4 linked regions of the Tamandua tetradactyla genome follow. The protein of the gene in region 3 interacts with the protein of the main gene of each other region in a biochemical or structural test. Links are inferred from orthologs where the notes say so. Each region holds a gene or a part of one and is shown on either strand. Other genes may lie near its edges. The genes, in order: MAP3K1, TNFAIP3, IKBKB and NFKBIA.

Region 1 (7,934 bases), on a different chromosome or scaffold from region 3:
ACAGTACATGGGAAGAAAAAGCCCCTAATTCGGTAATAAAAGGAAAAATTTCAAACCCTTGGGCGCCACTTACAGGCACAAAACTTTTACTGATTTCAGTTTTTACTATGAAGAAGATTTAAAAATTTCCATTTATAGCTCACAAATGTATTTTCTACAACTTTGAATCTACATCCAAGATCAGAAACTAAAGAAAATTCTGAAATCAAAATTACAAAATTCTCCTTTAAAAAAATACATCAGGCCTTCAGACAGAGGGGCTCTTCTCAAATAAAAATATTTCAAAATCTCAACATTAGATTTTCCTCCTGAAAATACGAATGCAACTACTGTCAAAAAGTATAATGTAAAGTTCAACTGAAATTTCATTACTCTGCTTATAATTAGAGTGCTTATGTCCAAGCAAACCAAGTGAATTTCAATCCCATCACCAAGGAAATTGGAAAAATCAATGCATTTTAAAAGGACAGAGAATCACTATTTTACCATAAATAAAATATTTAGAGATGACATTTGGGATGAACAAATAGCATTATGGTTAATGAAATCATTTTTAAAAAAAAGATTATACTAACTACTCCAGTGTAGCACAGACTGCAAATTTTAATTCACCCCTTAACAAAGACAGGAAAAAGCTTAGGTTGTAAAACATAAAAATTAAGCATGGACTACTCAGTCCCTCAGTTCTGTCTCTACCTTAGTCCTCTTATTTTGAGTCAAGGAACTACACTAAACAACCTCTGTATATTATTTTCACAAAGGTTACTCTAATACTGTATTCACAATTCAATAGTAGAATGTCAAGTAATTACTAAAGAATTACCGTATCCAAAGAGTTAAGTCTCATGAGAAGAAATAAAATTAATTTCTCAAGTTTACAATTTTTATCTGGAATACATTGGTGGTAACAATTTGTCTTCAAAGAATTATCCCAGTTAAGTTTTAGTGCAATCTGCATGGAACAGGAAACTGCAGAGGAATAAAACTCTGATTGAGTTACATGTACAAGTGCACACAAATCTCCCTTCTTCCAATCTAGACATGAAACAGTCCTGGGCATATTTTAAAATTTAGTTCTTTTTTGGGGGTGGGGGCGGGGAAAGCGCTTGCAAATAATAAACGAACGGCGATTTTAAATAATCAAGCTCACAAAAAAGCGCCAAATCACATTAGAAAATCAACCCAAACTAAAGGTTCCTACTGTTAAACTCATCTCACAAGAAATACAAATCTATTACAGACACTCCTGCAGAACTTCACACGACTCATAGTACGGGTCTGGTACTTCTCTACAGGGCAACGGGTGACTTTCACAAAAACATTTGCAGCAACTCGAAATACCCCACCAAGACTCTGTGCTCTGCAGACACTGGTCAGATCTTTTTCAAAAACAGGAATGAAGGCTGTCACACTTAGTGTATTTCCTTTAACATAAAAATTTCCAGTTGCCCCAAAAAAAAAGGGGGGGGGGGGGTCAGGCCATGAACCGCTCGTCTGAACTATGTTACATACATCGTACTTCAAATGCACCACGGGTCTTATCTGAGCCGAAGCTCCCAGTACTGTGACCCCAGGAATTCGGCAGTCGGCGGGCGGCCCGCGCAGCTGCACAGAGCTGGAAGCGCCGCAACCGCGCCGCGGTTCCCGAACCTCGCCCGAGGGGCTGCGGCGTGCAGTCACCACCGCTTGGAAACTGAATGGCTGACACATCCGGTCCCGGCTCTTACACCACTCAGCCAAATGTAAACTTCAAAGGCCAAATGCAAACTGCAAACAGAAGTCACTCACGTCTTCCCGGACAGTTCGCGTTCCCAAGAACACTCGGAGCCCTTGGGGGACGCAATCAGAAAAAAGCCAGGAGAGACTGCAAGTCCTGCGAGTTTTGACAGGCATTACCCACCGGACACCGGGAGTCCCCTGCGGCCGGTGCTCGGAAGCACGCCGCCCCCGGCCCGGCCCGACCCGCGGTACCTGCCTCGGCACTCGAGCCCCCGGCGCCGCTCCCCACCTACCCCGCCCCTTTTCCGCCCGCCCGAAGGCTCCGACCTCACCCCGGGACACCAGTCTGGGGCCACCGCCGCCGGGCAGCTCCCCGCCCCCCTGGGCCCGGGACTCGAAACACCCCGAGTGCAGCGCGGGGGCTCACGCCCCGGGCTCCTCCGAGCGCCCCAGTTCCCGGAGACCCGCAGAGAAAGCCGGGACCCCCACACCTTATCGCCACGGGTGCCTGCAGTGCAGCTCGCACGCCTGTCACATGTCCGCAAACAATAACAAACTCTCCAGCACGTCCCCGCCCCGGGCCCCTGTCCAGTTCCCCAGGCCGGGTCCAGGGCGCCTCGCCCGACGCCGGAGGGGTCAGGGGGTGTATGCCCGGGGGCGGAGAGACCTCAGGTCGCGGCCAGAGGCTTGCACCCTCCCTGCGCCGAGCCCCGGGGACGCCGTGCACCGCGTCCGGGATTCATTCATTGCCCTCCACTCGTCCCGCAAGTCTCCGCCGTGCCCCCCGCCGCGCTGCTCACCCGGTGGGGACCGCTGCAGGAGGCGGCTCGGCGGCGGGTGCCCGCTTCTCCCCCGACTCGGCCCCCGCGGGGTTCGGGGCGCCGCTGTCCGGCGCGGCCGCCGGCTCCGCAGGGTGGGCGCCGCCGCGGTTCGAGGCTCCGTGGGGCGGCGGCACTGCCTCAGGATGGAAGTTGCTCCCGCTCGCCGCGGCGTCTGCGGGCTCCGGCGACGGGGAAGAGGACGGCGGAGAGGCGGCGAGGAAGAGCGGCGGGTCCGGTAGCTGATCCAGCTCCACGCTCCGCACTTTGCGCAGCTGCCGCCGCCGCCAGTCCGCCCGCTCGCGGCCCCCGCTGCCCGCCTCCCGCAGGAGCCCCGCGGCCGCCGCGGGCCCGCTACTCGACTTGAGGGCACCCCCGCCGCCGCCCGCCTCGGGGCTCGCCGCCCCGGCTCCCGGGAATCCCGACGACGAGGCGCGATTCCCCGCCGCCGCCGCCATTTTCTCTCGCGGGCTACATTCGCTGGGCCCCTGCGAGGGAGGGAGGGGGCGGGGAGAGCGCGGGGGGCGGGCGGACGGGCGGGCACTGCGCCGCCAGCGTAGGCCGCCTACGCCAACTGCGTGAGCGCGGCCCGCCGGGCGTTCTGCCGGTGGCCTGGGCCGGCTGCAGCGCGGGGTCCTGCCTGCCGACGAGGCGGAGGGCGGGCCGGCGGCGGCGCTGCAGATTGGAGGGCGTGAGCTGTGCGCGGCCGGGGCGAGGTGGGCTGGGCGCTGACTACAGCGGGGGCGCTGTAGGCTCTAAGCGCTGCGCCCGCCGCGCCGCCAGGTAGTCCCCGGGAGCACCGGCGAGAGGAGGGGTTTCGGCGGCGCTGTCGCGCCGTGTCATCTCCGCCGCAGTATCCCGCTGGCTGGTTCGGAGCTCGTCCGACAGCGGCTGCAGCGCCCGAAATAAATACTTAGTGTGAACCTGGGCTTGTGGTGCGTTGAAGAGGACGCAGGGAAGAGGGCTTGCACTCTGTCATTCGCGCTGTCCTTTGCAGTGGGCGTCGGGGCACTCGAGCGCAGCTCCCCCCGCCCCTCCTCCCGCCCGGTACGGGCCGTGCAGGTGGCGCCAGGGCTGTCGCCTGCTGCACGGCGAAAGAAAACCAGCGTTCAGCGGACGTGCAGCCGCAGACCATGACAGTATTAAGTTGCGTTTTTAAAAAACATTTTTCCTTTTTTGTGTCCCCCACCACTCGTAGACCATAAAGAGCAAAACTTCAAAGTTTTCTGGAATACCTTGTTCACATCCTGAAATCACTGATTTGAGACATCCCCAACCCGGTTGGACGCGGAAGGGCAGGTTCCCTACGGATCTTTGTTTTTTCCCTCGGCTCAGTCGCTGGGAGAGGCAGGCGAGTACAGGACCACGTAGAGCACGTTTGGAGAAGGAACTAGCGCTGTGCCAGGAAGTGCTCGACAACGCGGTCCTCAGCCTGGCCCCGGCCCTCCCCGCCCCCCGGGGGCCCCTCGCTGCGCGGCCCTCTTACTCGCGGGGTCGGGGGACGGAGCGCGTTCCTCCCCCCACCCCCTGGCCTGGCGGTGTCAGCAGCGGCGTTTGAACCACTCCAACCCCCAGGAGAATCCCTGCGATACGGTGCCCTGGGATGGAAAAATCACCGTTTACATGTTCATGTTTTTTCGAAAAGCTCGGTAGAGTTGTTTTGTTTTTCTTCTCTCCCTTCTTTTCCTTAAGACGGTTTCTCTGTATTGGGAAATCTCCCAGAAGACAGAAGGAGTGCCCCTAAGATTTGTTTTGTGAAAAATTAAACAGACCTGACCTGACGTGTGTGTGTGTGTGTGTGTGTGTGTGTGTGTGCGCGCGCGCTTGCTTGTTTGCTTGCTTGCTTGCTTGCTTGCTTGGGGGGAGTGTCATGCAGAAAGAGAACTTTCTTGTTAGTCTAAACATACTTAGACAAAAGCCTGAGCTGTCTAGGTAATAATTCCTTTGAATTCTTGAGAATACATACAATGAAAGCCCTCTTTCCAGGTATAAATGTGATATCGGAGCCGAATTTTTTAAGGGTACTGATTTTATATTAGCTCGGTGTCTTGAATGGTGCTACACCAGCTGCCATAAGAGTTTTAGGTAGTTACGTCCAACGGTACAAATTTTGAAAGTTTGGATAAATCTGTTAAAATTTCAAGTCTACATTTAGGCTATAATTATATGCTGTTTTAATGGTAGCCAAGTGTATCATTCAACCCAAACAGTAGTTATTTCCCAGGTCTTCCGGGATTGCCACACCCACTAACTCCTAAATTGAAAAGGATAAACTTTCCACATTCCTATTTAGATCTAAAAACCTTTAAATTTACACACACACATCCTCAGGTAAGTGAGAAAATTGAGTGGAAATGTGAAGCCTTTCAAAATTGTCCCAATTTTGAAGTTTAGGCACAGTTGCAAAGGTAAAACTGGACTCCAGCAAAACATTTACCTTTGCTCTTTATATGTCCTTGTGACCAAAGCAGAGGGGTACCACATGCAACGCTAGTTACTTTCTCTGACCATCTCAATCTACCGCACACCAAACACTCCCCATCTCACCCCTAACAAGAAACCTGACTGATGGTCTGTCCCAAGTTTTTGGTGTTTTGAATCATTTTACTCTTAATCTTTTATGTAAATATTCTGGTTGCCGTTAGGCATCCACACTGACAAGCTGACTTTTTTTTCTTTTTAAAGAGAGAAAAACAATCAAAGGACCTGCATGACTGAAAAGCCATACGTTAAATACAACATCTTCTTTGAGAATTTAACTGCGTAGAATTGTTAACATGGTTTCTGAGTTTTAAGTATGGGTAAGACTGTAGCTTCTGTGTTTGTTGGATCTCTATATTACTGCACAGAGATATAGGTCAGTTATCAAGCTATTCTGTACACTCTGAGTTGCTTTAATTTGATTTCTTTAATGACATTAAGGAGACTTCAAAGATTGCTTCTGGAGCTGAATATTCCAGTTACTATTTCCATCCTCACTCAAGGATACAAACCTTGCAGTGGTTTCGTTTATGTCACAACAATTTTTGTAACCTTTACGCAGTGCTTTACAGATCACTGCTTCTAGTGCTTCTGGGAATCACCTAAGACGCACTTCAGTTCCTACATCACATTCATTTGCAGGATCTAGTTTAATGTTTGTGCGTTTCCTCGTTGTGCACAAATATCTCTGATGTTGAAATGAACAGACTTAATATGCAGTGGCAGAAATAGTGCAGACTGTACATTGTTCATCATATATTTATTAAGCACGTACTACAAATATACAAAGAGTTTTCTCTTGTGGTTATTAGGCTGACTCTAATAAAGTCAGATCTACCAATATGTACATATGTATTCATGCCTCTGTTTGAGAGATCTATGTCTTAGGAAGGCATAAGAGTAAGAATGTAAACTTGAGAGTAGGGCAAAAGCTGGTGTTCTGCCATGCTTTATAAATACTTACTGGGGGCAGGCCACAGTGGCTTAGCAGGCAGATTCTCTCCTGCCATGCCGGAGACCTGGGTTCGATTCCCGGTGCTAGCCCATACCAAAAAAAAAAAAAAATACTTACTAGGAAATGCTTGCAGAGTAGGGCTGGGACTTAGTTTCTCTATGCTCTTTCTAGACACCATACTTCCCAGGTGTTTCTAGATGTTCTGAGTCCTGAAATCTTGTCATCTGTAGATAACCAGTCCCCCCAGAAGGGCATTGTAGGTGACATTATAGTACAAAGTCAGCCAGCCTCCCCTTAGCTGACGCATTCATTAACACACACCCATCATCCTTATGTACAACCTGCTGAGGGGTGACAGGGCCCAATGAATGTCCATGGCCAGTGGCTGGTATGCACCTGCCCACATCTGCTTCCACCTGGTGAGTCATGGGCCCTGCAGGAACCACTTGTATTTGCTCCCAAACCTGATTAGCCTATTATAACTGTCCTTATGAAATTTAATTAAATTTTAGGAAATTGATTATTAATAAGCATGGGTAGATGAGTGCCAAAAGAAAGTTGTTCCAACAAAAACTTAAGTTGAATGCTTCGAAAGAGTGAATGAAGGCAAGTCACTGAAAACAAATCTATCAAATTAGTTGTGGGTGTGATGATTGTAGAAGGTTGGAAAAAAGTTCTCAGCTTCAGAATAATTTACTTTGTAAGTAACTATCACTTCTCATTTGGTGTCAAAGAAAGTAAAACTGAACATTGTAAGCATGAGAAAGATGTGTGGAACACTAAGCAGTCAAATACTGGCAAAAAGTCCCAAACCAACCCCAAACAAAACTCTATTATTTATATGTTTTAAATGAAAGTAGAATATTTAAGCTATTTTATGTTTCCATTTTCATAACCAACCATTTAAACATATTGCATTTGTTTGCATGTACTTAAAATAAGAATCCAGTTTTCAAAGTAAATAATAAAATACAGTTGGATTGGAATTTTAGATTTAAAAATAAAACTACAACCTATTAAATTTAATCTATCTTGTAACAAAATTCTGCTTATAACTCTGCACTGATTCTTTGAATTCTTTGAATGATCCATGTTGTTTGCTGGTTTTTGATGTATGATGAGATATCCTTTGTGTAGAGCTGACTTTAATGGCTTAATAGGGACTATAGTTTTTGCAAAAATATTCAAAGACTTAATACATTTTTCCCAAGAACCTCCTGAAATATTCAGATTACTTTCTTTGGATTGGTATCCTTGTCAATTTTCCCTTCCTTTGTAGTTCACTGTTCCAACTCTGTCAAATCCTCTATTGACCAGACTTTGTGTGTGATCCAAGAAGTTTGGTACTACTTCAATCTTTTGTAACGTTTGCACTTTCACTTTGCAATTCATTTGAATTGTTCTGGGGCCAAAACTGTTAAACAAGTATACAAAATTGGCATCCACTGGAGCAGCTGCTGTCCAATAGTAATATATGTAATTTAAAATTTTCTAATAGCCATATTTAAAAACCTAACAAAATAGGTGAAATTAATTTCAATAATATATTTTATTTTTCATAACATATCCAAAATATTATCATTTCAACATTTAATCAATATAAAATATTATTGAGTTTGTTTATATTCTTTTTGTTTGTGGGCGCACTACGTCTTTGAGATCTGGTGTGTATTTTACTTACAGCACATTTCAATTTGGACTAGCCACATTTCAAGTGCTCATAGCTGCATATGGGTAGTGGCTGGTATATTGGACAGGACAGCACTAGAGTCACAGTATCTAAGACCTATGAGTTTTATGTTCTGTGAGATGCCTCATTAGGCCAGATTAGTGTATAATAAAAAAAAATTACATGTACATGCTCAGGAAATAGGTAAAAAACACTATCTATATAAATTAGGAACAAAGAAGGAAATAGTCTTCTACTTCCAGTAGCTAACCTTTCAAATAAATTTAAGCCA
Region 2 (7,903 bases), on a different chromosome or scaffold from region 3:
CCCAGCACACCTGAAGAGAAGGGGGGAAAAACCACCCCGTTAGCCCAGCTTTGCCATCACTCCTACATATCTGCCTGCAGGACACCCCAGGGTTTGAGCCTGCCATTACCCTAACCGGTGGGCAAAAGATCTGTCACCTCTATTTCCAGGACACTCGCCAGCCCTAAAGATGAACTCACACTAGACTGTTTTAAAGATTAGTCTAAACAAGAGCAGGGAGGTGGGGAGTGGGCACCGAGGAGGAGGAGGAAGAGAAGGAGGAGGAGGAGGGGAATAACCCGGGTTTTCAGTCATGTCTCTCAGGTACTGGGCCGCCTCCTCCATCTCAGCTCCCATTTCATTCTGACGCCCTCCTGGACTGCCCCTGGGTGACAGGTGACAGGCATGGTGTGGCCAGCAAGCCTGGAGGCCCTCCCCCCACCCACCCTCCCAGCCTACCCTGCAATCCTTGTTCTGACACAGAGTCTTCGTTTCTTTCTTTTAAGCACTCTCTTCCTGTCCTAGGACACTAAACATTTGGGGGAAAAGCCTACGGTTTTTCTGCTGTCACCTTGGCTGCTGATCCACGTTTTCTCCTTGCACCAAAGACTGACAGAATTAAAACAGGCTGTTTTATAATCAACCAAGAAGCCTATTTCCAGCAAGCTGCCTTGCAATTAGTCAGCACCAGCAGTCGGCTGTCCTTCAGAACCTCTCCGCCGAGCCCCACAACGTCAGAATAATACGTAGGACAGAAAATAACAGAATAATGAGCTATGCGCTTCTGAGAGCAGGCACTGGAGTGCAGTGATTTCAACTCGACTGCCAAGCAAATGTCATCATCGTTCTCCAGGTGACCACACGGATGCATTTCCCACCTGGCCTTTCACCCCCAAATCTACAAACATCACCAACCGGTGGGAAGAAATGAAGGGTGGGAAGCAGGAAGAAAGGTCCAGCCAGGACTTATGAAAGACAGCCCACGCCAGCCGAGTGGGATGATGTGAAGCAGCGGGACGTGGGAGCTTTCCAGCCTGTAGCTGAGGAGACCCAGCTCCTCCTCACCGGCCCTTCTAGGCTGCCTCGTCACATATCCTAATTTCAGGAAGAAGACGTAGGTGATTTCAGGGCACAGGATGTTGCATATCCCATCCCTGTATGGCACTCTTTGTGCAGGCAAGTCAAGCTTCCATTGAGGAGGACACTGACCCCACAAAGCATGGAAGAGAAGCAGCCCAGGTTTTAGGGAGGCCACTCTGGGGTGGGTTCAGGATCTCTTCAAGTCATTGAAAAAGTGTTTTAACCTCTCATGGCCCACTCAAAGGAGAGAGTTTGCTTCTGAAGAGCAGGGAATAATTTTGGATTGAGATTCTTAATCTGATGGCCGAGTGGGACCTGGGACAAGTCATTCTCTTGGGAAGATGGTGACTGTCCTTTGAGGTTAGTCATTTGCTGCAGATGAAAGTGGGCAAAATAATAACAAAGGGACAAACACTGACGGGACAAAATACCATGCACACTTCTCCCAGTGGCAGAGCTAAAGTCCCTTTCACGATGTCATTCATTCATTCATCTGTCCATCCATCCCTCTAATGAGCACCATCTGTAGAAGTCAGGTGCATACTTGATGCTGACCTTACACCCCCTCCATGAAACCTCACAGCCCTTCAAGCCTGTACTTAAGGCAATGGAGGCCCAGAAGCAGGGGACCTGCTCAGGCCACTCGGCCATCCCTGGGGGGACAGCTTTGTCTAGAAGCCAGGTCTTCCTATGCCTGCCTGGAGCACCACACCTGAGGCCTCTCAGACAGACAGGCAGCCAAATGCTTTTAGACAAGCTAAGAATAGCCTCTTGTTTCTCTGTCTCTCTTCTCCTCAGAACCTAAAGATCTTTCTGCAAATATCTAAAACAGTGAGAGCCTCAGACCATAGGCAGGACATGCAAATGTTGGTATCACTGGCCAGAGTCATCTCACTCATAGATTAAACTCTCATAACAAACAATATTGCCTCCTTCAAAGGAATGCAATATGACTGGTAACTTTTTTTTTTAAACAGTTGTTGCCTCACTTTGACGTCAAGATAAATTCCCAATTTTTGTCACTAGGACCAAGGAGATGCTATAGAACTTATCACTCAAAGTCTCTGTCCCCCTGTTTTATTTTTCTACTTTGGGCACATATTCTTGTCCACAATGGGGATACTTATGAATTATTTATCAACAAATTCCTCACTAGATCCCCAAATTCAAAACTTGTGCAAAGAATCGCAAAAAAATCAAAGAAGCAATTCAGCCAATGAGATTGGGGCATGAGCCAGGCTGCTCTGTAATCTGGGACATCAGGGTCTCCAGCAAAACGCCGCCCAGTGCCGCTGGACGGCAGGCTTTCCAAGGACACATCAGTGGCAGGGAGAACTGAAAACCCAGCGGTCTGGGAGAGTGGTGCGCCTTCCTTTCCTAACACCGCGACTTTCCTGAGCGACCAGGTGGCAGGATGTGGGACGTCCCGGGCTGACAAAGACCGACTGCACAGCTTTCCTCGGCTGGATCCCCCAAAGGCAGGCCACGACCCACTTCTGCATGCAAACTTGCCTGACCCCACTGCAACCACAGAGCGTGAACACGCCCTCCCGCCCCCTGCACAGGGCACTGAGCGTCTGACCGCGGTCCCAGGACAGGTGAATGAACCGGAGCCCCCACACCCTGTGCCTGGCTGGGTGAGGACCTAAGCCCCCTCCCCGTCGAGGTCGCCGCCCTGAACGGGCCGGCGCCGCAAGGTCTGCGCAGAGGCCCGGGCTGTCGTGCAAGGCTACGTGGCGGCGGGCATGCAGCGCCCTAGTTCCCAAACAGACGCCTCCTGGAGCTCGGCGCCCGCGGCCCGCCGACCAGCCGGACGCTCCCCCCGCCAGCGGCGGCTCAGGTTCTCGGCGGTATGTGCAAGGAACAGACCGCCGGGGGGCGCCCAGGGCTGTCACCCCAACATCTGGCGCGGCATCTCTCAACCCGGACGGGCCCCTCCCGAGAGTCCCGCCAAGTACGCACCGGCAGCGCGTGGCCACGGCGCGGGGTCCCTTGTCGCGGCCCCCTGTCGCGATCCGAGGTCCTGGTCAGCGTGCTGGCCGGCTCGGGAGCCCCATGGACGCAGGGCCGGGTGCGCTCGCCGCTGGGCTCGCCGGGGAGGGTCGTGCCGCCGCCGCTGGTCTCCCGGCGCCCTCTGTCGCCGCTCCGCCCCCGCGGGCTCGCTGCGGGGCTGGCGCTCGGCGGGCCGCGAAGGCTGCAGACTGGGCAGTTCTCTATTCTCGCCTTTCTGTTTTAGGGCCCGCCGCCCGCCGGGGCTTTCCACTCGGGACTTTCCAGTCACGTGACGCCGCGGGGCCCGCGCTGCCCTCGCCGGCCACCAGGGGGCGCGGGGGGCCGCCCCGCCCCGCCCCGCCGAGAAAGCCCGCGGCCCGCCCGGGGGTCCCCGGTGAGTCACCTGGGCATTTCGGAAGCGGGCCCCACGTCACATCCATGTGGAAATCGCGGTGATGGGAACGGGAAACGAAATCGGGTCTTTTTCTCCGTTGCTTTTCTGCAGAAAATCAGCGGCTGTGGAGAAAAAGAAGGGAAATAAAAGAGAGAAACCCGAAAAACCACCCTGGTGTCCGGGAGCCGGGACGGCTTGCAGAACTCGGGGCTGAGCACGGGATGGGCTAGCCGGGGCCGGGCTGGCGGGGTGACCACCTAGTGACACCCCCGAGGCCAGGCTTCCTCCGAGGCCAGGCCGGGCTGAGCTGCAGTGAGCACCGGAGCAGCCCCCAGCCCTAGCCGGCTCCGGTGCCCCTCTCCATTTCTGCGGCCAGGTCCATTATCGTCCTTGCCTGTCCCCAAGGCCTCATGGGGTGTCCTTTTAGATGTTCTCACAACCAGCTCACCCCCAAGTACCTGTGACTGGTAACACCGTGCTAGCCCCCTCCCCAGGTGCTGCTTGCTGGCTAATCTTCCCCTGGGGGCTGAAGCAGTAGGGAAACCAGCGCACCTGGCCCTGAGGGCTGTGGGTTGGGGGCAGGGCACCAGGGCTCCTTTAACTGCCTCCGTGCCTTCTATGCCCAGGTGGCCCAGGCACCTGTTCCCCAGGTTGGGTGATCTAGAGCAGATGGAAACCTCTGGACCACTGCGCCCTTAAGTGCACTCGGGGTACTTGAAGATGCCCCCTCACCCCCCCCCCAACTGCTGGCATCTCTCCCCTTCCCTTTCACAAATGCTTTCTGCTGTCCACACTCAAGCATTGGCACCTCAGGCTGGTAGTATTACAATGGCGACATTTATCCAGAACTTACCAAATGCCAGACTCTTGACTAAATGTTTGCAATGTGGCCTGCCCTTTAAACTCCGCAACAACTCCACTTTGCAGCTGAAGCTATGGAAGCTGAAGAAGCCTATGCAAGCTGCCTAAGTCTACACCACCAGTCAGTGGCAGAACCGCGACCAGGACAGGGTCTGTCTTACCCCGGAGCCCAAACTGGCGGGTCTTAACTTCTAGGTCACCCCCCAGCGTCCAGAAGGGCCCTGCGCAGATTTAAAGTCTCAGGGCCCCCACGGCCCCCACCGCAGGCACTGAGCCCGCAGGAATCCTGACAGGAACAGCCTCCTGGGCTTGCTGGAGGCCAGAGGAAATTGGCTATTGAGCGTCCTGCCCAGAATCCCAGCCAGTGGACCCCTCTCACCTCATGCTTCTTTGTAGACAGACGTCGCCTGCTCTCTCTCACCTCCTACTGGTTCTGCCCTGACAAGTCCCCCGGATTCCTCCAGCAGCTTCCACGGTCCCTTCTCTGCCTTGTGTCTTTTCCCCCGGTTTGATGAGCTCTAGAAAGGGGGGGCTCAGATGACAGACCAAGGCTGAGAGGCCGTTTTAGGTCTCCTACTTCTCACTGCCCCGAAGTAGCTGCTTTGCCATTGTATCCGCTAGTACATATAATAAGGTGAGAGGTCTGGAGCCCTCAGCTTTGTTCCCTTCCTCTGTTTCCTGTGACTCTACCACTGAGCCATGGTCCCTGTGAAGAGGTGTCCTGAGACCTGCCTGCCCTTCCCTGGCTAGTTTCTGCTGTTCTTTCCACCTCCGGGGTCAGGCTGCCTGTGGCTGTAAACTTAGCTCTCCTTTCCGAGTACTTAGCACTTGGCAAGACCAAGGGAGTATTTTCTTAGTGGTGAATCAGAAAGAATGGGTAGAAGAGGGAAGAGAGATCCCTGATGGCAGAGGGGATATAAAATTTAGGGAAATTTGTGGGAAGAAGTGAAACCAAGGAGATAGTGCCCAACAGCCTTGCAAAGGGCTTCAATTTCTGCTGTGGACCTTATCAAAGTGGACAGAGTGCTGCAAAGCGGAAGGAACGTTCTTTAACACCTGGTGGACACAGAAGGAAACCGCATCTCCCTGTTGGAGGACAGTGGCTTTGGAGCACGCCGAGGGTTGGGGAGTGTTCCTGGGAGATGTCAGTTTCTACCCGGGGCCAGCGTTCACATGGCATGAGTTGTGGCAGTGAGCATGCGTGGCCTCTGGGATGGGACAGTCTGTGGATTGTTCCTGCAGCCTGCAGCTTATGCCGCATAATTCCCAGGAGGGGCCTCCCAGGATACTGGGGAGGGGGGCGGGGAAGCAGTAGCCACCTGACTGAAGAGAGGCCAATAGGTGATAAGGGGAAGGGGACCCAAATCTGGCTCTTTTCAAGCCGCAGCTCACGAGCCTCTCTTAAGAGACAGTGACAAGGCCTTCCAGAAATTATGGGGAACCCCAGGTCTTGGGATCCGTGGTCAAACTGAAATCAAACCCATTGTGCCCCTTGTCCGCACTGCCCCTGACCCCTCCTTCCTGGGATTGTGCTTTATCAAAAGGAAGATTCACAATAAACATATTTTGGAAACAACCTTATGTAAGTATAGCACTTTAGTGATTGAGGAGGGCTTTGAATCCTGCTTCAAACCTCAGGATCTCTTGGCTGAGCTCAGAGAGGGCTGAAGTGTTAAGGTTGGCCTTTACTTAGGGCAGCTGCAAGCGCTAGTTCTGAGAACACACTAGATGCTGTGGGCCGTAAGGACAACGAGAACTGGGAAATAAGGCTGTAAATTTCATCATCACATGAATACCCAATTCTTTGGAGATCCTGCTTCTTATCGGGGAACCTCAGACCCCTGACAGGCTTTGCTGGGGTGGACGGGGAGCTAACCCAACGGGAACCAAGACCCTCCCCCGGGAGGGAAGCAGTTGGCTTCCAGCCTAGGACAGCTCCTCTTATTCCACTTTGCCTAAAACACAGTGTGCTGAAATCCAAAACTTGTCAGAAAATCCGATCCCTCTATGAATTCTGGCTTAGTTTCCTGTCAACACTTGGCTGAAACACTTGGCAAGGAATCTTGTTTTACATCATGAATATAAAGATCCAGTTTTTGGTTTCATTTCAGTTCTTGCGGTGGTGCCTACGAATGCCCAGGTATGAACCTGACAGGAAAGCCCTGAAACAGGGTTCCAGGAACAGACTGGTCAGTGCTGGCTTTGGAGGTAAGCCGGATGCTCCCCAGGGGAACGTCCGGAACAGGGCAGGCCACCGGGATCTTCCCTTTGACGTGCCCCGTTCTCTCCTTCTGTCCATCAGTCCCTTCAGTCCAGTTTGGGGTCCTGTAGTCCTGCTCTGCTTGCCACCCCCACCCTTCATCTCCATGAAAAGGGACCCTTTCGTTTTCCTTCTCCCAGTGCCCAGCTTTCTGCAACTGACTCATCTAATAAGATCAGTCATGTCCATTTGTTTCGAGCAGATTACCATGTGTTATTGCATTACGTTTCTTGGGAAAGAACTCCTTAGGCTTAATGGTGGGAATCTCAAGCACCTGAGTAGGCTGCAGAAGGCGCTACTATAAATCCAGGATTCTGAGAGTCCATGGTTGTAAGACATGCCAGGAATTTAACATCATGGCGGGTGGGGGGGGCAACTCCATTACATGAAATGTTCCCACCTCCCTTCCTTTACTCCCTGGCACGCATGGAATCCACATGATTCCACTCCTACTTCCTCTCACTGTAGCCATCCCTGTTTGGTTTTAAGGCGTCTTGGAGGTGTGTAAGTCTCTTGAGCTGATTTTGGCCTAGATCGCTGTACATTGCATTCTGTGATAGGCTATTTTCAGTAGTTGGCTCTTCTGGTCTGTTTTAGAACTTTAAGATTAACCAAAACATAGCATAACCCTTCAAGCTATTCTTGAGAGTCAGCTAGAAACTCAGAGATCATCCTTCAAGATAATGGGCTCAAGGACACATACTTGTTCTGGCTATCGAAAGGAATTTGCCATTACCTAAGCATGTCCTTTATCTCCATGGCACATTTAAGTACCTTTATCTCTACATGGGGACAAGGTCCAAAAAGGCCCTTGGTCCTTGCCTGACCAGAAACCATGGAAGAGCAGCCATCCTCCGATGATGAATACTTGCTTCCTTTAGAACATTTCCATGCACGCTTGTGCCATGATTTTCTTTTTAGCTTCAGTAGAACATCATAAAGTATCTTTTGGTAGATATTTTATTCAACAAATAGGAATCCAAATTTAAATTAAATTGAAGTTCTTTTCGAGCTGCAAATGCAAATAACTCAGCAGGGGTGAGTCTTGAGGTTCCCTCATCTTGCTGAGCTCAGGTTGGTCTGCCACAGGACCTCTGCACTTACTGTTCTCTCTGTAGGGACTGCTCTCCCATCCGCTTGGCATTCAGCTTTCTGCTCACATGTCATTAATCAGAGAAGTCTTTCCCAACACCTCCTTCCTGTTCAGTTTCATTCTCTTTGCAGCATTTATCCAATTGGAAAGTCTTTGTTTATTGGTCTGTTTTTTTTAATCTATCTTTTCCACACTAGAATGAAATGCCGTGAGAACTGGATATGTATCTGTCATCGTCCATCCC
Region 3 (7,569 bases):
ACATTTGGACAGAACTCTTTTTCAAAGGAAACCAAGATGTCTCTAGTTAAGCTGCAGTGAGATATTTGCTGTAGTCAAAAGACTTTTAAAAGCACTGGCCTGTCCAGAGGCACCCAGCCCAGTTATACGTGGTGCTGGAGCATAATCTGGCTCTCTGGGTTTAAAATGAAGCCCTTGGCTAGACTATAATCTGGACAAACTTAAGCAGGTGGTATTTCTAAGGCCTCCTCAGCCAAGGATTTGCTGAAGTACTAGTTTCCACAAGGGGGGTGAAAATGTTACCACCTCTGCCTTCCAGCTCTGGATCCCGTATTCTTCCATGCAGTCAAGAGCTGGCAGGATTCAGGGCAGGGCCTAGAATGTCTCCCAAGTCAATGGCCAAGGAGAGTGGCTCTCTGGAGTGACCCTCTGCCATGGCTGGCCAGCTACCTCAACGTCTTGCAGTGCTGGCTGCAGCCAGGCTCTTGGGGAGTAGAGTACAATTTGTCATCCCTTTAGTCAGAAAAGGTGCTCAACAGCCCCCTTGATTAAAAGGATAGCTGCCTTTCTTCAAGGAATACAATGGCTCTGAATTTTGGAGCAGGAAGTTAATTTCAGCTATTTGGTGAGTGACTTAAGTCAGGGTTCCTCTAGGACAATCGTCTCCAAACTAGGTTTATGCACCCCAGGGGTTGCCCAAGATAATCTAATGGAATCGAAAAATAAAAAAATAAAAAATAAATTAAGCTCTTCTAATATTAACTGATGTTGGCACATTCTTTAGGTCATTTGTCAGAAGGTAACATGCCATGTTTGATATATCCTGAGGAAGGAGGCATTCCACAGGCAGAGGGGTGCCAGGGGCCTATGGAGACACGCTGCAGGTCATGTGCGCCCTGGTGAAGTAGCATTATGGATGCATTATCCAGTCTAAGTAAAACTGACAGTTACAGATTGATTCAGGCCCCCACCCTCCCTCAAAGACATGTTCAAGTCCTAAGCCCTGGTCCTGTGGATGTGAACCACTTGTAATCAGGATTTTTGAAGATCCTATTGAGACAAAGCCAAACTGAAACAGGGTGGGCCTTAATCCGATATGACTGGAGTCCTTATATGCAAAGGAAATCTGCAGATGGTATCAGGTGGATGAGGAGACAGACTACCAGGTGGCAGGCGGAGACTGAGTTCTGGATTACCAGCAAATCACTAGGCTCAAGTACTGGAGGAAGCACCGCCTGCAAGAGATCTTGACTCTGGACTTCTTCCCTCCAAAACTGTGAGATAATAAATTTCTGTTGTGTAAGTCAACCAGCCTGGGATAGCTCTTACTGCAGCCCTGGCAAACTAAGACAATAACTCTCAAAATGAACAAATAGCATAAAGAGATTCCTGCAGAGAACTTCAGGACATATCATACCTACACAAGCAAGGAGGGACATGGTAGAACCGGCACTTCTAGCACAAGTAGCTCATTATAAAGAGCAGGAATAAAAAAAATGAGGATCTGATGAAATCCAAAAAGAAATCAGTCTAAATAATTCAAAATTCTAAATCTGAAGTGTAGATTTTCATCCACTATCCTTAATGACATTCTTAACTTCTGTGCAGATCCAGGTATTTCACGTTGTAAGATACTGTAAATGATACTGAGAAGACATCACAAATAGCAAAATATTTTAAAATATTATTTCATTACCGTCATCCTTAAAATTTTCCTATTTTTGGGTGCTTTATAATAGTTATATATTAGCATGTAACAGTATATGACATTCTAATACTTGCATAAGTTTAAAATATACATAATTGGAGCCAAGAGCTTCACTTTATTGTTATTATTATTTCACTATCTATTATGGTGGTGCGGTCCATTAAAATTGGAGACTAACCTAAAAAGTCAGCTTAGCTGCCCCTAGAAACCCCCTTCCCAGTCCCTCTTCTCATTCACTGCTAAGAATTCCACCACCAAAGGCTAGCACCATTCACCTACCCAGAACAGTGTGGGGTAGAAATTTGCAGTGCCAAGGGGCAGTGAGAGAAGCGTGCCCCCCACCCCCACCCCTTCCCGGGCTGCACAGAGCCCCTACCTGATTGTGCCATCGGATGACGTTTCCAAATCCCCCTGTCCCAAGTCGTTCTTTCATTTCCCAAGCCCCACATGTCTGGGTTGGCAGGGAAGGTGACCAGTTCATTACTGACGTCCTGATAACTCTGTAAGCAATTGGGGATGGGGGGCAAAGGGTTATTATGGTTAAGAAAAAATGGGGCAGGTCCCTGCTCAAGGGGATGGAGAAGGTAAGAGATGGACTTGCCCTTTAGCGTGGGAGAAGAAAAAAACTGAACTGCTTTTTACTTAGCGAATAAACCGGGATTTTTTTGGTGTGGTTTTTTGTTTTTGTTTTTTTAGTTTGTGTTTTGGTTTTGGTGGCAAACTTTTTCTCTCTCATCACCTTCCATCCTCCCACTCTCGTGGGAGGAAGTAAAGAGGAAAGTCACTCAAGGGAGATGATGCCCTACACTCCATGACCTCCAAAGGGGATCCTCGGCTGACCTGCCCGCATCCTCCCACAGGGGACGAGAGAGTCTTGTTTCTGGGCTCCCCACGCTCACCTGTTTCTTTGCAAGGTTCTTTACAAGAATCACGGCTCCCTCCCAATGCCACCATCCTCTAAGCTGCCACCTGGAATCCCCAGGCCGGGGCTGTTCTCCTGGGCCTCCCAACTCGAACCCGTGGCCCCCCGACTTTTAAACTCGACAGAAGTTTCTTCCAGAGCCTCAAGTGAGGATGGAGACGGACAAGTGGACTTGGACAGAGGACCAGCGGGGTCTCCAAGTGGACACGACGCTCTCGGTCCCGCGCCCGCCCGTGGGACTCACCTGTCGGCAGGGACGCGGGGCGGGGGAGAGGCTCCCCGGGGCTGGGGAGGCGGGGCCTGGGGCAGCAAGACCAGGGGCTCTGGTACCACTCAGAAGACATTAAAATGCGGGAATCTCAAACCAACCAGCAGCGCGCGACTTCCTGAAACACTTCCTGCTCTGACGTCATGGGGCACGTGGGCCGGCGCACCGCTCTTAAAGGGGCCGCGGCGGCGCGTGGGCTCCGCCCTCCCCCCCCCCCCCCCCGAAGCCTGCCTTTCCCCAGGGCTCTCCGCCCCACGTGGCCCCCGGGAGGGATGCGGGTGGCTCCTGAACGACTGGGCGGAACTGAACAGAACTGTGCTCCCCGAGATAAAAGAGTCTTCAAACGAACCCCAGCACGCCAGTGTTCTCTATAGGGAAATGCCGGGAACCTGCAGCGGTGTCCAGGGCAGAAGGGATGGGGGATTTCCTCTGCCCAGCCCTGCTAGGGTAAACCTGACCTCGCTTCCCAGACGTGGAGCAGGTGGAATTTCCCCCGCGTCCCCGCTAGGATTGATTTAGGGACTGTTAGCCAGAATCGCTGTTGCCCTCCTGGGCTCCTGCTGCGCCTCCCGTGTCTGGAGGTTCCTGTCTCTGTATCAAGAATGACAAATCCCAGCTGTACTTCTCAGCAGTGACACCTCCCTCCCCGACCACCCCCTCACCCCCACACACACAAAAAAAAAGAAGAAAAAGAAAAAAAAAAAACCAACCCTAGTAGTATAAAACTGAACTCGAGTTTCAGCTCCAGTAAGGCTCTCGACCCGAGGTTAAGCGTTCATTTCCTCCGCACTTGGCATTATAATAAGGTCTTTAATATTAAGTTTCTGGATCTTGTGGCATTCTGTTGGTATACAATGGAGTTGTGTGTGTGTGTGTGTGTGTGTGTGTGTGTGTGTGTGTGTGTGTGAGTTGGTATATTTAATCAAGAAGGAAAAAGGGATTAAAGGAAACCTGAAGGTGGTAATAATAGCTCACATTTATAGAGTGCTTGCTAAATGCCAGGTGCTTTCCTAAACTCTGTACTTAGATTTCGGGTCATTTAAGGTTACTTTACAAATTAAATAATACTGCATTATTATTACCCTCACTTTGCAAATGAGGAAACTAAAGCATACAGAGGAAAACTCTTCATCTCAAAGCCACAGGGCTAGTAAATGGAAGATGTGAGATTTAACCCCCAGTAGCTGGTTCCTAGGCAGATGCTCTTAATATTTGATTAAAAATAACAGGCTAAGAGGTTCAACCTAAGGAGGCAAACTGGGTTTTGAATTCAGATACTGCTGTCAATTAGCTCGAAGAATTAAGGAGAAATTATTTAACCACTCCAAGCCTCCATTTCCTCTTCTTTTAAATGTAGGCAATATTAGGGTGAGTCACATGAAATTGCCATTTTTTAAATAAATCAAACAGCATCAATTAAAGTTCAGCAATTTTCTTTGGTCCAGCCTAAGAGCAGCAAGAGGACAGGAAGGCACACAAGTGGCAGAGGAGGTGCCAGTTCAGTTTCCCTGAGGGGCCAGTGAGGTAATGGTAACGGTAGTGCCTGACCCAGTGGACACTCCTGTCTTCCTAAACAGGGTCCAAGGTTGCAATTAACTTTGGGGAACATATTTCAGCTCATTAGCACAAAGTAATGATGCCTGGCATATTCCAAGTGCAATATACGTGTTTGTTTAATAATTAAATCAAATTAAACAAATATTTATTTAGCACCTACTTGTGCTGAGCTCTGCTTAGGATATGTATGACATCATGAAAGCTTCTTTTTAATCCTGTCACCACTGATAATCACTGTCCCTGAGAAATTTAGCAAGATATCCACTGACATGCCCAAGGTTGACTCTGCACCATTTTCCTTTGAGTTCTCATTCTGCTGAGTCCAGAACAGCTTGTTCTTCAATTGAACATAAATCTCTTTGATAAAGTCGCATACACTGCTAGTTTTTTAAAAAAATAAGTGCATGATGAGCCAGGAAAGAGCCTGTGAATTTTATCATGTCCCAAGATATTTATCATCTTAAACTCCTTTTTTCCTTCCAGATAAGATATGCCCAGAATACCGTGTCTGGTATCTTTCCTGCTCTGGAGGATGTGAGCAGACTGCTCATAACAAGACATTTTCAGATGGCAGCAGAAAAACGTTCCTTCTTCTTCCTGCTTTGAAACCGAGTGTCCTAGTTAGCAGAAGCTATAGGATAATCAAGAAATACTGGAGAGGGCATAGCATAGCTCTGGGCACCGCTGACCACAGGGAATTCAACCAATGCAAGTCTCATCACAGACACTTAGAATCTTATTGAGAACATAAGACCCACAGAGAGCCAACAGGTAACTGGAGATCAGAACAAGGCAACACAAACTCAGGTGCTAATTTGTTCTGCTGTAGAGGCAGTATAGTAGGTTAGTGATGAGGATAAGGTTTCTTAATATTGTTTCATTTAAAATAAAATCTTATTCCAGAGGAAGTCAAAGACAATGATTTTCTTAAGCATCTTTTTGTAGCATCCTTTGCGAAAACCCTGCTGCTATTGGAACACTGCCTCTCACCTTAACAGCAGCTGGGCAAAGCAACCCTGAGTTCCTTTGAATGAGGAAAGGATTGTTTTCTGAGCCACCTGAGAGGAGAGTAGGAAGAGTGAGCTTAGAAGATATCAAGACAATAAAATAGAGCACTCCATCTTGGGAGGATTTTCCTGGCACCCTAGTACCAAGTTTGTTTTCTCTCAGCCCTGCTGAGGACTCTGCAAGTCAGGGCTTGTTCCTTCAACAAACAAAAATTCTGCTGCCAGAAAGGTTGGAAAAACTTGTTTTGTTGAAAGGAATAAAGAAATCTGCCTTTCTTCTGCAAGAGTTGGTGGGAGATGGGGGGTGGACTGGCAGAGACTGAAAAGGAGAGTCAACACAGCTCGGATCTTCAGAGCTCAGTATAAGAACTGGCTGCAGAAGAGGAAGGAAAGAAATTGCAGGCAACTCCTATCTCTGAGAACAGGACCTGAGCCAGTGGTGAAACTTGGAGAGAAGCAGAGTCAGCCAAGTCATCATGCTTCAAATTTTGGGTGAAACACTGAAGGCTGGAAACTCAGAGCCCTGGGTCACCCTCCCTGGAGGGTGGCTTGGGAGAGGAAATCATTTTGCATGCTCCCTTCACATTTACACACACATGTTTTTATTCCAATAAAATCCATTTAAAGAGGAAGCAGTCACTAAAGGGCCCATCCTTTGTGGTGGAGAATCTGTGGGTATGAACTGGGCACATCAGCTGATAGCTGTGTTCCTTCATCACCTCAATTCTGAGCTCCTCCTTTGGCTCAGGGATTTTGTTCACTGCTGCATCCCCAGTGCCTGAGGCATAATAGATGCTCAAGAAAAATTTACCGAATTAAATAATCAGTCAACCAGTGCAAAGACCCGTAATGCTGCACTCTTTAGCATTGGATGTACGTGGACCCTGGAGTCTGAAAGAGATCTGGGTTTTAATGCTGACTCTGGCTTCATGGACTCAGACAATTTACTTTACCTCCCTGAGCCCTGGTTTCTGTATCTACAATCTACTCTTCCTGGTTATGTGATTTAAGTGAGATAATAGATGTAAAGAGTTTAGGACAGAGCCTGGCACTTTTTAAGCCTGCATGATTTTTTTGATGCAATAGCCTAGGTGTCAGCAGAGATTCCTGTCCTTATGATTCAAGTAAAATCGCTTCAAACCCTCCCCTCCCCTTGATGTAAAAGACCCTGTACCCTTTCTCTTTCCCATCTCTCCAGGAATTGGTGTAAGCGGTGGTGGAGCTGGCCTGTGGTGGCGCATGAGGCTAGTGGTATGTTTCTTACTCAGCCAATTCTGACTCCTACTTTCACTAAATTCCCAAACACCCTTTCCAAATAGGTCCTCCTCCCTACATGACCGGTTATTTTGTCACCACACTCTCCCCATCTAGTCCTTCATAGCACTCGTCACTACTTTTAGCATGTTATTTGTTTACTGTCGGTTGCCTGCCTCCCAGCAGTTAATGCTGTCAGTCCCCTGTCTATTCTAATTCCGCTGTTCTAGCATCACGTCGTGCTGGCCACACAGTAATAATAACAGTAGTAGCAAACATTTGACTGCTCAGTAGGTGCTCAGCGATGATGTGTATATTGAAGGAATTGGATCAGTCTATGTGTCATTTTTCATTCCTGGGCCTGTGATTTCTGTTCCTTATCCAGATGTGGAAGTCAGCCCTACTCCTTGATTTTATCCAATAATCATTTAAAGAAGAACTTCATATTCAACAGATTTTACCGGAGGTTTGGAGCGATGGAAGGGTTTATATCATAGTGCCTGCCACAAACACATTAAGATCTAATATCCGACAACCTCTCTCAAAAGTTCCCCTTGTCCAGCTCCTGGGCCCCCACCCTGCCCAACCCCTCTCCACTCCCTCTCCTCTCCAGCCCCTCAGGCCTCCTGCTCTTGAGCAAAGAGACAGATCCCTCCCAAGTTCTCCTGCACAGCAGCCCAGCTCTCCAAGGCCACAACTCCCAATCTGGGTTAGGGCCAGCAAGCATGAACCTGCCATCGTCGTGGGGTGGCGGGAGGGTTGGGGGGACATCCAGTGGGCAGCACAGGGCTTTTTTTGTTTTGTATTGTTTTTTCAATTTTTTTTAACTTTTTTTAATCGTATAGTATAACATATATACAAAGCAAAGAAATAA
Region 4 (7,727 bases), on a different chromosome or scaffold from region 3:
GTCCAAGGATTTTTCTTGTCTCACTCATAGAATTCACAAAAATAAAGGCTGATCCACCACAGTAAAATATTTTGGGCCAAGCAGTGGGCAGTGTGGTTTTATGTACACCCTTTGAATTTTTTTCTTTTTTCCTTTTTTTTAGAAAAATAAAGCTCTCCTTTTGTACAAATATACAAGTCCAGGTTCTTTTATACATGTTCCATTTATAATGTCAGCCGCTGGCCTCCAAGCACACAGTCATCATAGGGCAGCTAAAAATGAGAGGGAAGAAAAGCACATTAAACTTCCAGAACTTTAACAAGACGTTGGGAAGACAGTGAGGATTCCTATTGGGAAATAATTTAAGTCTTCTTGGACTCCATTCTCAACAACCCAAAACATAAATGAACTTTGCAGGCTGAGGGAGTTTTTCTTTAATGTTCCTCTCCTCTAAAAAGGTTAAGCTACAAACAGAAAAGACACGCTTCGGGGATAGTGTTATTGCACTCAAGTTTGAGAACTTCATTGTTGAGACTCTGTGATTAAGAGTAGCTCTCGGGGCATGGGAAGGTGACGGGCCCCTCATCTTTTTTGTGGGTGTTGAAGAAGTTCAATGGAGACTCACCTCGTCCTCTGTGAACTCTGACTCCGTGTCATAGCTCTCCTCATCTTCACTCTCTGGCAGCAGCTGAAGGTTCTCCAGGGTCAGCTGGCCCAGCTGCTGCTGTATCCGGGTGCTTGGACGGCCCCAGGTGAGCTGGTAGGGGGAGTAACCCTGGTAGGTAACTCTGTTGACGTCAGCCCCACACTTCAACAAGAGGGACACCAAGTCAGGATTCTGCAGGTCCACTGCAAGGTGGAGGGCAGTCCGGCCATTACAGGGCTCCTGAGACCAAAGAGAATTAAGAGATGCTTACAGCTGAATTTGGGATTTCTGCTTGCAAGAAGTCTTATTCAGGAAAGGGGCTCTAAAGCCGGACTCACTCCATCTGGGAGCAGGAAGCACTCACCTGAGCATTGACATCAGCACCCAAAGACACCAAGAGCTCCACGATGCCCAGGTAGCCATGGATAGAGGCTAAGTGTAGACACGTGTGACCTAGAAGAACAAAAGGAAAAAAGTTTAACCATTTGTTTCAAGCCTCACACCTCAAACAGAACCTTCCACTTATTCTTTTAAGGGACAATCAGCCATGTCTTCTAAATTTGAAGGATCTCGAATTTGGGGTCTGAATTAACATTATAAAGGCATCAAATAGTGGGTCTATTCTCTCAAACTTTCTCATGTTGAGAGTTTAGGGTCTCACCAGGACTCAGACTGTTGGCCCACCTCCCCCCTCCTCCATGCCACCCGTCCCCTGGCGGGGCAGGCCGACTCGCGTACCATTGTAGTTGGTGGCCTGCAGGATGGAGTGGAGGTGCTGGGCCTGGCAGCTCTGCGTCAGGACTCCCACGCTGGCCAGGCAGCCCTGCTCACAGGCAAGGTGCAGGGGGGTATTTCCTCGAAAGTCTCGAAGCTCAGGATCACAGCCAGCTTGCAAAAGAGCCTCAGCAATTTCTGGCTGGTTAGTGATCACAGCCAAATGGAGTGGAGTCTACAAAAATAAAAAGGAATAGAAACAGAATAAACCATGGGCCAAACCTGCAGTCAGGGTCTCCTGAAACCCCAGGCCCCTCCCAGTGGTGGGTGCTGCTCCTCCCAGACAGGCCAAGGGGCGAGGAAAACACCAGAGGCCCCAGGTGGACTCTAAATCACCCAGTCCATGGGATATGCTTTTCTCTGTTGGATATTTGCTGATTAAAATGTAAAAGGCCGGGGCCTTTAAAGATCAGTGACTGTTGGTTTAGAAAGGATTTGGTGGCAATTGTGTCAGGGCCAATTTGTCAATCCAGCTCCATCACAGGGTCAGAAAGGGCCCCGGGCTAGGCGAGCAGCGCACCTGCTGCAGGTTGTTCTGGAAGTTGAGGAACGCCAGGTCCCCCTTCACTTGGCGGATCACTTCCACCGTCAGGGCCTTCTCTTCATGAATGATGGCCAAGTGCAGGAACCTGAGGGGAAGAGAGGGGGAAAAAAAACCAGGGGGTGATGAGTGCACCGTGTGGGGCCCAGGGAGGTGCGGGCTGCGGGGGATTGCGCAAGGCCGGGGTTTCTGGAGGCCGAGGCCGCGGTGTTTTCCGCGAGGTTATTATGAGCTGAGTGTTCCTGGCAGGCGCCCAGGGACTTTCCGGGCCCCCCCTTCCTCCTCCTCGGCGGGCGCCGGCCAGACCGCCCCGCCCTCGCGCCGGCCCGGAACGCCCTGTACTTCCCCTCGGGGCTGCGAGGCGCCTGCCAGCGGGGCAGAAAGTCCTGCCCACCCAGCCCCCCCACCCCTTATGCAACCCAGGACTTCGCGTCCCCGCCGCCGCCCCGCCCCCGGCCCCGAGGCCCGAGCCTCCAGGAGGAGGGGGGAGGGGAAGGGGAGGAGGCAGAGGAGGGGGGGCGTGTGAGGAAACGCCGGAGCGCGTCGCCGAGCTGCAGCCGGGCCCGCGAGCCCCAAGCCCAGCCCTCCCCCCGCCGCGCAGACGTGCAGCTCCGAACGTTTTCGCGGTCGGTGCCCGAGCCCCGGGGTCGCTGCCGCGCCCCTGCCCTGCTGCGCCGCGGCCCCGGCGGCTCCCGCTGCAGGCCCGGCGCGCACCCACCCTCCCCACCCCGGCTCGGCCACACTTACGAGTCTCCGTCCTCCGTGAGCTGCTGCTTCCAAGGCTCGGCCCCGCGCGGCGCCTCCTGAGGCTCGAGGCGGATCTCGCGCAGCTCCTTCACCATCTGCTCGTACTCCTCGTCCTTCATGGAGTCCAGGCCGCTGTCGTGGCGGTCGTCCAGCAGCCGCTCCTTCTTCAGCCCGTCCCGGGGGCCCTCCATGGCCCACGCCTGGGCGTGCTCGGCGGGCTGGAACATGGCGCGGGTTCCGTCTCCAGGCGCGGCTCCCCAGGTGCGCTCGGCCACGGGCTGCGCGCCTCCTCGCAGTGTCGCTGGCGGCTGGGGCTGCGGACTAGCACTGTTGTGGCTCGGCAGCGCCGCCCCGGCGCCCTATAAGCGCTGGCAGGGGATTTCTCCGGGGCGGGGTCAGGCGCGGGGAATTTCCAAGCCAGTCAGACCAGAAATGAGAACTGGCCCCATTCTATGCTGGGGGGGAAAAAAAGAAGCCTAAACCCTGTGCTGGGGTTCAACAGAGAAACTCCCTGCGATGAGCCACTGGGGTCATATACAGGGAACTTTTTGATGAGCGCTGGGTGGCTGGAAAGTCCTTCTGACAAGGGCCCCTCCCCCCAGGTACTTCCCTGCAGTCTGCACTCAGTAATTCTGTCCTCTGCAAAAATCCTTCTTTCCCTGGGGTTTCCCTTGATTTATTCGACTTAGGGTCGTCTGCGCTGCGATCCCCAGGACGCAGACCCGTTGGGCGGATCCACACCGGTGTTTGCCAACCTGCAGGGCCTTTCCGTTTTTTGCTCTTTTGAAAACCCAAGAGTGGAAATGATGGCTGGGTGTAGGGATTCGCTTCCCCAAAATTCAGTCTGCGGGGAAGGGCGGTCAGGTGGTTAGGTCGCGGGCCGTACTGTGTTCCTGCCAATACCAGGAACGCTGTGCCTCTTTGCAGAGCAGAGGCATTTAGCTTTTCCTGCCTTCCCAGGTAAAAATTGTGAAAGCTTTGGCCTTAAACCTAAATACTTGGAAAGCCCTCAAATCATTTCCTTGGGACTGTTAATCCTGTTGACTGGGGAAGGGGCAAGCACTCCTGCCCCTCTTTCTGGAAAGTGCAATATATAATCATAATTCATTTGAAGTAAGGCAAGTTGTGAATCTGTGCAGGAGGAGTTATAGATTTGCTATAAGAAATAACCAGTGAGGTCTCTTTCTTTCATTTGCATTGTGCAACTGCAGGGAATAGGCCCAGAACCTTCTACTGGGTGCCTGATGGGCAATTTCCCTGGAGCATTTGAAGAAGGATGCTGAAGCATGAGTTTAGCAGCGTCTTACCCAAGGTTGGACCATAAGGACCACCACAAAAGTAGCTGCTAGCTAGCGTGTATGGGGCTCAAGGCAGCCCCAACACTACCCCGCTGGTGCCCTTGCTTGCTACTCTTGACCTGGGGGGTGACACAGCTGGACCTACCCATACAGTGTGGGTAGCCACACAGAAGGGAAAGGGATTTGGGCTCACCATCCTCTGGTTTCAACTGCAAATATAGAAACTTACTCTATCTGTCCCTATCCCCACCTCCAAGTCAGCAAGCCATAAATTGAATTCATGTGCTTATAGAATTGCCCAGGCAAAAGAAAACAGTTTAGGTCAGAGGTCTTGAGAATTAGCCCCGGGGGGGTGGGGGGGGGGTGGGGTGGGTTCTACAGTTCTGCAGAGCTTTCTGGTGATTACTGCAATCATCTTTGCCTTGACTGGCCATTACTGTGAAACTTTCCCCCTGTCCACATCTCACCCCCACCCCCAACATGCCAATGTGGGGAATCTGGGTCAATGGGGTTGAGAGAGGAAATCTGAGGGGACAAAAAGTAAAATCAAGAAATAAAGCCTTCAGAGTGGCAATGATAATATATTAAAATGAAAACTGTCAGGATAGACTACATCCTCTCTGCAGGCATTTGATATGCAAATATACAATTCTTGAGGCAAAGTGGAATAGAGACTAAAAATAGGGCATCTCAACCCCAGGCTCTGCCTCTAATTAACTGTATGTTACTTTGGTAGATAGTTAACTATTCAGTAGCATACATGCTTTTAAAATAATAAGATTGGGTTTAATGCTATTTAGGGTTTTTTCCAGCTTAATAAACTATATTATGTCGCCACAAATGCATCTCTAACCCTGATTTGTAAGGGAGACCCTAGCTCTTGGCATATTGTGGTATAAATTTTTGTAAGGACTCCAACACTTTATGTATCACATTGTTAATCCTAAAAAGAAACTGAAATAAAGAGAAATTTACCCAGACATCCCATGGTAGTTTACCTAATTTCTATCCCAATATATTAACCATTTAGCAAAGCAGTCATAGTATTAACAATTTTGAAGACACATTGTGAAAATGAGACTGAATATACTATAATTTGGAAGTTACTCGAGTATTTTCTGCTCCAACTGTTAGGTAAAACAGAGGGTAGGTGTTCCCCTAGCTGGGAACAGTAACTTCTTTAAAAAAAAAAAAAGCTATAGAAATGGCAAACACTAAATGCCCTATTTACAAAGTATATCTTAGAAGAGGATTTTTAGCTAAAGAGTTAAAAATATGAATTATAGGTCTCATATTTAGAAAGTAAAAAGAGAATTATAGGTGTCCCCACAGAAGCTTTGAACAACCAGCAAGATCTAGTGGAAAATAGTTAAAGGACTGTAGAAACAGGATGAGCACTGAATCAAGAAAAAGGCAATTTAAGAGCCTAGAATCTCTTGGTATCCTGGCTGGCCACCTTCCCAGCCCTCACCAACTTGGCTCTGAGCCAGCCCATCCTCCCAGGGCGTGGATGCTTAGTCCCAGTTTCAGAGGGAGCAGAGTTAACGCTTGTGCACATACTCAGAACCTGTAGGTCTGGCACAGTTTGGTGGTGTCCCAGAACTTGCCCTGAGCGAAGAAGCAGCATGTGGAGCTCTCCTACAACATACTATGGGCAGCCAATAAAGCCATGGACCTGGGGCAAAGGATTGCTGGTTGGAGGCTTGGGGCAAAGGTTTGCTGGCTTTAGGACATACAGAGCTGTGCCTGGGACTCTGAGGAGGCTCTTTCCTAGGGAAGAGGGGACATTGTATCTGTGTAAACAGGGAAATTCCTAGGGCCACATGACCGTGGGTAGAAAGGAAGGAGGTTGCATGCTTTGGCCTGGAGCTATTCACTAAATTCTTTGTATAGATAAGCATTGAAGAAAAAGCACTCATAGAGGTCAATCTGTAAAGACTAGGAAAAGTGTTTTCTTTTTTTTCCCCGTCTTTTATTTTTTCCCTTAGCCCTGGCATTTAAAGAAAGCTCTATCATTATGCTAGCTGGATCCAAGCTTAAGGAAATAGATGCCTCAGAGTCTAAATTCCAGTGATAACACCTTAAAGCATTAAATGCCCAGGTTCCAACCAAAGATTATAAAACATACAAAGGAATAGGAAGTGATGTCCTAGGCAAAGGAGAAAATTAAGGTATTAGAAATCATCAATGAGGATGACCAGACCTGTGACATACTAGACAAAGTCTTTTAAAAAATGTCCTAAAAATGCTCAAAGAGCTGAAGGAAAACATGAACAAAGAACTTAAAAAATCAGAAAAATGACAGATGAGCACAAAGAGATTATCAATAGAGAGATAGAAATTGTGAAAAGGAATAAAATAGAGCTGAAGACCCCAATAACAGAAATTTATAATTTCCTGGAGGGGTTCAACAGCAGATTGGGAGTGGTAGAAGAAAGAATCCATGAACTTGAAGACAATTGAAATCATTCTATCTGAGGAGCAGAAAGAAGAAAGAAAAATGAACAAAGCCTAAGGAACCTGTGGAACACCTTTAAGTCTACCAATATATTCATTGTGGAAGTTCCAGAAGAAGACGGAGAAAAAGGGGCAGAGAGAATATTCAAAGAAATAATGGCTGAGAACTTCCCAAATTTAATGAAAGACATGAACATACTATCCAAGACACTCAACAAACTCCAGATAGGATAAACCCCAATAGACCCACACTGCATTATATTATAATCAAACTGTTAAATGCCAAAGATAGTGGATTCTGAAAGCCTCAAGAGAAAAGCTATTTGTCACATATAAGGGAACCTCAATGAGATTACGTGCGGATTTCTCATCAGAAACCTTGGCAGCAAGAAGGCATTGGGATGACTTAGTTAAAATACTGAGAGCAAATAATTGCCAGTGAAGAATTCTATACCCAGCAAAACTGTCTTTCAAAAGGGAGCAGTTAAGACATTTCCAGATAAACAACAGCTGGAGGAGTTCGTCACCACAAGACCAGCACCACAAGAGATGCTAAAGAGAGTTCTGCAGCTTAAAAAGACAGGACAATAGGCAATTGATCAAAGCCATATGAAGAGATTAAGATCTCCAATGAGGGTAATGACATGAGTACATATAAATGCCAGTACTATCGTATTTTTGGTTTGTAAGTCCACTTTTTGCTTTCTACAGAATTTAAAAGGCAAATTCATAAAACATAAAGAGAAATCAGTGGTTTAAGACATAATGTAAAAACATTTCATTTGTGACAGGAACTACAAAATGTGGAGAGACAGAGAGCTATAGAAATATAATTTGTGTATATATTGAAGTTAGGTCGGTATCAAAGCAAATGAGATTGTTCCAGATTTAAGATGTTAAATTTAAGCTCCTTGGTAACACAAAGAAAATATCGGAGAATATACATACTCGTAGAGTACAGAGTGCCAGGGACAGGGAGCAGGGGAAATGGGGAGTTAATTTAAAATGTGTATAGGGTTTCTGCTTTGGGATATAAGAATGTTTTAGTAATAGAAGGTGGTGAGGATAGCACAATATAAGGAATGTGATTAATTCCACTGAGTGGTAGGCTTGGGAGTGCTTGAGGTGGAAAAGTTTATATTGTATAAACATTCCCATGATAATAAAAAAGAAAAAGAGCAAGCAACTAAAGAAACAATGACAATTAAAAGCATTACATGATCCTGGACAGGATCCGGCAAGAGAGGTGAGAAGGCTGAAAAAGAATATTATTGGGACATATGAA

The links.
Region 1: of the proteins of IKBKB (region 3) and MAP3K1, one has a biochemical effect on the other in vitro, tested with the Homo sapiens proteins (3 studies listed by BioGRID and IntAct). The link is inferred for Tamandua tetradactyla from reciprocal best matches to the Homo sapiens genes IKBKB and MAP3K1.
Region 2: of the proteins of IKBKB (region 3) and TNFAIP3, one has a biochemical effect on the other in vitro, tested with the Homo sapiens proteins (2 studies listed by BioGRID and IntAct). The link is inferred for Tamandua tetradactyla from reciprocal best matches to the Homo sapiens genes IKBKB and TNFAIP3.
Region 4: of the proteins of IKBKB (region 3) and NFKBIA, one has a biochemical effect on the other in vitro, tested with the Homo sapiens proteins (58 studies listed by BioGRID and IntAct, with this or other methods). The link is inferred for Tamandua tetradactyla from reciprocal best matches to the Homo sapiens genes IKBKB and NFKBIA.

The regions. Positions count from the first base shown.
Region 1 is NC_135335.1:103,417,118-103,425,051, reverse strand, and holds the start of MAP3K1 (mitogen-activated protein kinase kinase kinase 1), read right to left. Parts: upstream 3,003-7,934; 5' UTR 2,996-3,002; coding exon 2,520-2,995; intron 2,399-2,519; exon of another isoform or gene 2,211-2,398; intron 1,971-2,210; exon of another isoform or gene 1,901-1,970; intron 1-1,900. UniProt on the Homo sapiens protein: Component of a protein kinase signal transduction cascade. Activates the ERK and JNK kinase pathways by phosphorylation of MAP2K1 and MAP2K4. May phosphorylate the MAPK8/JNK1 kinase.
Region 2 is NC_135351.1:38,077,307-38,085,209, reverse strand, and holds the start of TNFAIP3 (tumor necrosis factor alpha-induced protein 3), read right to left. Parts: upstream 3,008-7,903; 5' UTR 107-3,007; coding exon 1-106. UniProt on the Homo sapiens protein: Ubiquitin-editing enzyme that contains both ubiquitin ligase and deubiquitinase activities.
Region 3 is NC_135329.1:17,816,738-17,824,306, reverse strand, and holds the start of IKBKB (inhibitor of nuclear factor kappa-B kinase subunit beta), read right to left. Parts: upstream 3,007-7,569; 5' UTR 2,854-3,006; intron 2,677-2,853; exon of another isoform or gene 2,587-2,676; intron 2,188-2,586; 5' UTR 2,169-2,187; coding exon 2,064-2,168; intron 1-2,063.
Region 4 is NC_135340.1:18,276,610-18,284,336, reverse strand, and holds the start of NFKBIA (NF-kappa-B inhibitor alpha), read right to left. Parts: upstream 3,016-7,727; 5' UTR 2,915-3,015; coding exon 2,688-2,914; intron 2,029-2,687; coding exon 1,920-2,028; intron 1,575-1,919; coding exon 1,364-1,574; intron 1,079-1,363; coding exon 990-1,078; intron 866-989; coding exon 605-865; intron 252-604; coding exon 204-251; 3' UTR 1-203. UniProt on the Homo sapiens protein: Inhibits the activity of dimeric NF-kappa-B/REL complexes by trapping REL (RELA/p65 and NFKB1/p50) dimers in the cytoplasm by masking their nuclear localization signals.